Linked DNA regions of Macaca fascicularis. The protein of the gene in region 1 purifies or fractionates together with the protein of each later gene. This does not show direct contact. Links are inferred from orthologs where the notes say so. Each region holds a gene or a part of one and is shown in the gene's direction. Other genes may lie near its edges.

Region 1 (3,761 bases):
TGTTGTTGTTGTTGTTGTTGTTACTGTTTTTACCCTCCTGTTCATTGGCTGGCCTTCGCATATGGGTTCACAGATATTAACCAGATAGCCAGCTGAGTTAACAAACTTTCCAGGAAGATACTGATTGCATGTCCTTATCTACAGGGGACCCAAGTAACAGGGAGGAAAGCAGATGTTATTAAGGCAGCTCACCTTTGTGCTGAAGCTGCCCTACGCCTGGTCAAACCTGGAAATCAGGTAAGCTACTTTATCCAGTTCCAAAGCTTGGTTGAACCAAAGATGCATTAGACACCTGTTGCTTCTCTATATGAAACTACCAACCTCCCCTATAGACCCCTTATAAAACAGCTTTTTAAAATTAGATATATTTGGCTGGGCACAGTGGCTCACGTCTGTAATCCCATCACTTTTGGGGGCCAAGGTAGGAGGATAGCTTGAGGCCAGGAGTTCAAGACCAGCCTGGGAAACATGGTGAAACCCCATTTCTACAAAAAATACAAAAATTAGCTGGGCATGGTAATGTGTGCCTGTATTCCCAGCTGTCAGGGAGGCTGAGGTGGGAGAATCACCTGAGCCTGAGAGATTGAGGCTGTGGTGAGCTATGATCATGCCACTGCACTCCAGCCTGGGCAACAATGAAACCCTGTTTCACAAAAGAAAAAGGAAAAATAAGCATTTGCTGTCCCCACAAAACAGATTAGAATGCCACGTAAAAAAGGATAAACACTGAACTTATTATAGGCATGTGGTGGCACATACCTATAATCTCAGCACTTTGGGGGGCCAAGGTGGGAGGATTGTTTGAACCCAGGAGTTTGAGACCAGCTTGGGAAACATAGCGAGACCCGTCTCTGCAAAAAGAAAAAAGAAAACCCAGGTTCTTTTTTATGACTAAGTTCTTTCACTTAGTCATTTAACCTGGGGCAAATCATTTAACCTGAGACTCAGTTTCCTTGTCTTCTAGATTGGGATATACATATCTGCCCTGTTCACTTGCAAAATTTATTGAAGTAGACCATCTTTGTGAAAGCACAGGGTAAAATGATATGCAAATACACCTGGTCCTCGGCTTGATGCCACATTCAGTAGAAGCTATGCTTTGAGTACCCATACAACCATTCTGGTTTTCATTTTCCATGTAGTATTTAGTAAATTACATGAGATATTCAACACTATTATAAAATAGGCATATGTTAGATAATTCTGCCCAATTGTAGGATAATGTTTTTTAAGTGCTCTGAGTACATTTAACATAGGCTAGGCTATGATAGGTAGGTTAGGTGTATTAAATGCATTTTTGACTTAGTGATATTTTCAACTTACAATGAGTTTTTTTAAGATATAACCCCATTGCAAGTTGGGGAGCATCTGTATAAAATATTTTTAGATTGTAAGGATAATCAAGCTATGAAACGAAAAACCAGTGAATGAGTATCATTGGGTCTTGATGGACGATATTAGAAGGCTCAGTTCTGTCAGGTGCGGTGGCTCATGCCTGTAATCCCACCACTTTGGGAGGCTGAGGTGGGCGGATCACAAGGTCAGGAGATTGAGACCATCCTGGCCAACATGGTGAAACCCCGTCTCCGCTAAAAATACAAAAATTAGCTGGGCGTGGTGGTGCATGTCTGTAATCCCAGCTACTCAGGAGGCTGAGGCAGGAGAAGAGCTTGAACCCAGGAGGCAGAGGTTGCAGTGAACCGAGATCACGCCACTGCACTCCAGCCTGGCGACAAAGCTAGACTCCATCTCAAAAAAAAAAAAAAAAAGAATGCTCAGTTCAGTTCTTTTATGCTTCTTATTCTCATTGTAGAGAACTTATTAGCTCCTGATATCTCACCTTTTGTTTGATGTTGTACTTCTAGAACACACAAGTGACAGAAGCCTGGAACAAAGTTGCCCACTCATTTAACTGCACGCCAATAGAAGGTGAGAACAGATAACAGGGTTGAGGGTCTAAGAATGAGTGGCTTTGCCGGGCAAGGTGGCTCACTCCTGTAATCCCAGCACTTTGGAAGGCCAAGGCAGGCGGATCACCTGAAGTCAGGAGTTTAAGACCAGCCTGGCCAACATGGTGAAACCCCGTCTCTACTAAAAGTACAAAAATTAGCTGGGCGTGGTGGCGGGCGCCTGTAATCCCAGCTACTTGGGAGGTTGTGGTGAGACTTGAACCCGGGAGGCGGAGGTTGCAGTGAGCTGAGATCGCGCCATTGCACTCCAGTCTGGGCAATAAGAGCGAAACTCCATCTCAGAAAAAAAAAAAAAAAAAAAAGAATGAGTCGCTTTGCAGAATTGAGGCTTTTGCCCCCTTGAAGATCTATCCAGCTATAACCCAGTCTAAGCCAGAAATCTCAGGGCCCTGTGTTTCCATCACCAGGTAGTTTTCTCACTGCCTACCCCTTCAAACTACTGAAGTAGGTAGATTTGGAAATCTTTTGGGATACTGGATAGCTCGTTCCATAGGTTGTGTCCTGTCTACAGGTATGCTGTCACACCAGTTGAAGCAGCATGTCATCGATGGAGAAAAAACCATTATCCAGAATCCCACAGACCAGCAGAAGTAGGTGCCAACCCTATTCATCACCTTCTACCATACCAGACTAGTCATCAGGTTTTTTTCTATACTCCCAACTGAATCTTGTCTACCCTTTACTCCATGCTTTCAGGAGTGACCTGTTGCTCTTAATATTTCCTTTCTCTAGGCCGGGCATGGTGGCTCATGCCTGTAATCCCGGCACTTTGGGAGGCTGAGGCAGGTGGATCACCTGAGGTCACGAGTTCGGAACCACCCTGACCAATATGGCGAAACCCTGTCTCTACTAAAAAATACAAAAATGAGCCAGGCGTGGTGGTGTGTTCCTGTCGTCCCAGCTACTTGGGAGGCTGAGGCAGGAGAGTTGCTTGAACCTGGGAGGCGGAGGTTGCAGTGAGCTGAGATTGTGCCACTGCACTCCAGCCTGGGTGACAGAATGAGACTGTGTGTCAAAAAAAAAAAAGTTCCCTTTCTCTCTATTCCTTTTAGGAAGGACCATGAAAAAGCTGAATTTGAGGTACATGAAGTATATGCTGTGGATGTTCTCGTCAGCTCAGGAGAGGGCAAGGTGAGGAGAGTACCAGAGTTGGCTAAGAGGGGTGACTGAGAGTGTTCACCAGACCAAATGTTACTTAAATTACCCTTTCAGGCCAAGGATGCAGGACAGAGAACCACTATTTACAAACGAGACCCCTCTAAACAGTATGGACTGAAAATGAAAACTTCACGTGCCTTCTTCAGTGAGGTGGAAAGGCGTTTTGATGCCATGCCGTTTACTTTAAGGTACTACACTTAGCAATGATAGTACATGGAACCAGTCTGACTCACAGACCATACACCCAGGAACACTTTTTCCTCTCCCTTCCTGCCTAGACTTGTAGCGTGCACGTGCTCACTCCCTCCCTCTCTCTCCCCATCTCCTTCTCACTGAAGGTAATGTAAAAGAGCAATCCTAAGCATGATTTCTGCCTGAGGGTAGGAGCTATTTTAAAATATGAGCAAAATGGTAAGACTTGACGGGGAGTTAAGGATACCTCTGAATATCATCTTCCCTGCCAGAGCATTTGAAGATGAGAAGAAGGCTCGGATGGGTGTGGTGGAGTGCGCCAAACATGAACTGCTGCAACCATTTAATGTTCTCTATGAGAAGGAGGGTGAGTTCTAAAAAGGAGCTTCACTTTGGATTCCCTGATTATATGATATCCTTCCTATAAATTCAGAAGAGCTA
Region 2 (3,600 bases), on another chromosome or scaffold:
GCGATCCTCCTGCATCAGCCTCCCAAAGTACTGGGATTACAGGCATGAGCCATCGCGCCTGGCCTTAACAAACACTTTTCTTTCTTTCTTTCTGAGACGGAGTCTCGCTCTGTCGCCCAGGCTGGAGTGCAGTGGCGCGATGTCGGCTCACTGCAATCCCCGACTCCCCGGTTCATGCGCCTCGGTCTCCCAAAGTGCTGGGACTGCGGGCCTGAGCCACCGCGCCCCGCCTGAGGTGATTTTTAACAAGTACAGCCGTAGCTGCAGGTATCCTGGTTCTGTAGGAACAATGAGGTATGGATGGATCCATACCTGGACCCATGGATTGGATGGATCCCAGGCAGGCCCTGGACGGAGGGAAATGCTCTGTTGCTAAGCCCGGCATCGAGGGAGGCCCACCCTCAAAGCTAACCGTGGAAGTCACTCCGGCCTCCTTCGCCCTGCCGCCGGGGAACCCTGCCGGTGGCTCTCGACCTGCTCCCGAGCCATCTGGTGACACTGACTTAGCAGCCACCACCTTAATTGGCGCATTCGACGCAAATAACAACCAGGGAACCTGTGGGCGGTCAAAGGCCCGGCTTTGCGGTCGGCCCGCCCAGGCCCCTCTCCTTGCCCTGTGAGGCCAGAAAGTTACTTCTCCGAGGCCGTTCCCCATGACGAGAAGTATCTCCCGCCTGAGGTTCTGTGGGGTAGGGGAGGTTCGTGCATTTCTCACAGAAAAACCTCGCACAGACCCGCGACTGCCTTTATTAACGGCTCTCAGAAGGCTGCCTGCAGCCGGGGGTGTCTCCAGTCCCATGCTCGCGGGCAAGCAGGGCTGAGCTGTGCCTCCGAAAGGGCCAACGGGAACTCCGCGGTCCCTGAACTTCCGGGGCTGGCGGGCTTCTTTCTCCAGGGCCACCGGGAGCCCCGGCGTGAGTGCGTGCCGGGGCCGCGCGCGGGGTCTTTGAGGAACTCCAAGGCTGCCCGAGCCTAGGGAGCCAGCCACATTGGAGATCCCTAGACCGCCCGATTCCACCACCCCCGAGGTCCCCTCACAGCCGGCGCCAAAAACGCCAGTCCCACGGCGCAGGCCGGGACCCGCGCGCCCACGGCCCAATCAGCGCCCGCCTTGCACAAAGCGAGCCCCGCCCCCACGGCACGGCTGCCAGCCCCTCCCCCTCCCGTGGCCGCCTCGGCCCGCCCACTCCCCGCCCCGCGCCGTTCTCGGTTAGAGGCTCGCGATTGGCTCAGGGGGACTGCCGCGAGCTCTGGTTGGTCGGCACGGAGTCACGAGGGCGCCGTCGTCGCCTTTCCACAGGCGATTACTGGGCAGGCTCAGTCTTTCGCCTCAGTCTCGAGCTCTCGCTGGCCTTCGAGTGTACGTGCTCCGGGATCTTCAGCACCCGCGGCCGCCATCGCCGTCGCTTGGCTTCCTCTGGACTCATCTGCGCCACTTCTCCGCTCCACACTCCGCCGCCATAAGCCGCCATCATGGTGAAGCTCGCGAAGGTAAACGGCCTTGAGCGCGAGCGCAGACGTCTAGGCCTGCTCTCCGAGGGGCGAGCGCGGCGGCGCGGGGAGGAGGGCCTGCGCGCAGTCCCGGGCGCGTTCTAGGGCGCCATGCTGCGGGAAGTCTCGCGCGATTAGTGGGGAGGTCTCGCGGCTTCTGGCTAGTTGGTGGCGAGGTGAAGAGCTTCTGCAGGTGCTGGGGGCGGCGAACGCGGCGGGAAAGACGGAGTTACTGAGCGCGGGGAGGGGGCGCTGGGCCCCGGGGTGGGGAGATGAGACCAAACTCCTGCGACGCATACGAGTCGGGACCCGACTCCTGACGCACGTGCCCGGGTGCGCGGCCTGCCACGTGGGCCGCGCCGCGTGGGTCCTGGAATCTCCAGAGGCACCGGTGCCTTGCGCCAGGAAATGGCGGTATACGTCCTAGTCGGAGTCCTGGCCTGGCAAGCCGACACGTGGTGGGCCCCGGAAGGTGGCTCTGCCGCGTGCCTTTTGCGCCGTGTTTCGGGCACGTGGTGGCCTACCAGGTACCCCCACGTGGCCGCGCCGCCTCTTTAAGGGGCGGGGTTGTCTTGCTGGGAAAAGCATAATGTTCATGAGAAAACCAAGGTAGTTACTTCTTACCTTCGGGCGGGTTTTCTGTTTGTGAAGCCCGGGAGGAAAATTGTGGGCGGTTGAGAGTAGTCCATCTTGCATTGCCATCAGGACTCGTTTTGATGTTGTGCTGTTTGGCACTATGAGAAATGGATCTGAGAAAGGAGAGATGATGGCGTTTTACTATGAACAGTAATGGCAAAATATGAATGGCCTGAAATGTTGAGGTGGAGGTGTAATGACCTACTTGTGTCCATTTTAGGCAGGTAAAAATCAAGGTGACCCCAAGAAAATGGCTCCTCCTCCAAAGGAGGTAGAAGAAGATAGTGAAGATGAAGAAATGTCAGAAGATGAAGAAGATGATAGCAGTGGAGAAGAGGTAATTTTATCTAGCTTAATGCAGAATTGTGTTAAAACTACAACAATGGAGAGTTAAGACATGAAATTGGATGTCTGTGGCTAAAATAAGATTTTATTCATCCAGGTATGTCCTATTGTAGTGGTGGTTTCACAAGCTCTTCACTGACATGTCAAGGTGTCATTTGGCTAAGTATTTGAATGTGAGTTTGAGACAAGAGGTCTGGGGATCTCCTTTCCATGTGCCTCTGCAGGGCAAGGAGTGTGATTTGTTGTGTTAAATCATTAAATTTTTCCAGTTTCAACATGTTAGCCTCACCCCGACATGTAGAGCTGGGCATTGTATTCAGATCTGAGGATAACCTTCCCAGATTCCTTTCCTAGCCTCCAATTAAGATTAATTGGTCTCCATTCCATTATATATAAACTTTGTAATTCTACTCACTGCGTTATAGTTATCTTTGGTGTAGACTGAGGGCTGCCACCTCTTTGTGTTAACATTGACCCTCTTTACTCTTTGGCAGTCCTGGCCTTTTATTTGCTCACTGTAAAGACATCTGAGCACTGAATTGTGCTCAGGTTTCTCGTTGAGAATTGAATAAAAGTTTTATTCTTCCACACATTGCCTAATAAAACTATGGGATTTTCATGTAGCTAAACGATGGCTTTTATCAAACTAACATGCTCACTCTTTGATGTGTGATAGTTTTGTAAGGGATAGTTATGTTTAGCCTATTTGATCTTCATTTTATCTCAGGTCCCAAGAATTGAGCTTCACTGGACTCAGTACTGCCATCCACCATAGGAGCCCCAAATGATTTAATACGTTAATGCTTGGAGCCTCCTAGGTGTAAGGTTCTGAATAATTTACGCATAGCAATTCATTATTGTTATACGTGTAATATGATACTATTACCATTTTCAGATGAGAAAGTTGGGGTTTGGGAAAATATGAGGTGCAAGAATTCAGAGGTCTGGTTCAGAGGTATTTTAAGTGTTCAAAAGGGTTCCTTATGGCTGGGTATTCACCTGATAATAAGGGCTCTGACCTAAGACAACATAACAGAAGCCTGGAGTTTAACATGCTAACATGTGTCTAGCGCATGTGGTCTTGAACCAGAAGCATTGCCAGAATCTAACACTCACTGGGACCATGGT

Evidence for each region.
Region 2: the proteins of PA2G4 (region 1) and NCL purify together in Homo sapiens (affinity purification with mass spectrometry; 3 studies listed by BioGRID and IntAct, with this or other methods). This does not show direct contact. The link is inferred for Macaca fascicularis from reciprocal best matches to the Homo sapiens genes PA2G4 and NCL.

What each region holds. Positions count from the first base shown.
Region 1 is NC_088385.1:62,892,894-62,896,654, forward strand, and holds part of PA2G4 (proliferation-associated protein 2G4), read left to right. Parts: intron 1-144; coding exon 145-237; intron 238-1,865; coding exon 1,866-1,929; intron 1,930-2,481; coding exon 2,482-2,560; intron 2,561-3,022; coding exon 3,023-3,101; intron 3,102-3,182; coding exon 3,183-3,316; intron 3,317-3,592; coding exon 3,593-3,687; intron 3,688-3,761. UniProt on the Homo sapiens protein: May play a role in a ERBB3-regulated signal transduction pathway. Seems be involved in growth regulation. Acts a corepressor of the androgen receptor (AR) and is regulated by the ERBB3 ligand neuregulin-1/heregulin (HRG).
Region 2 is NC_088386.1:127,383,356-127,386,955, reverse strand, and holds the start of NCL (nucleolin), read left to right. Parts: upstream 1-1,332; 5' UTR 1,333-1,473; coding exon 1,474-1,491; intron 1,492-2,347; coding exon 2,348-2,464; intron 2,465-3,600. UniProt on the Homo sapiens protein: Nucleolin is the major nucleolar protein of growing eukaryotic cells. It is found associated with intranucleolar chromatin and pre-ribosomal particles. It induces chromatin decondensation by binding to histone H1.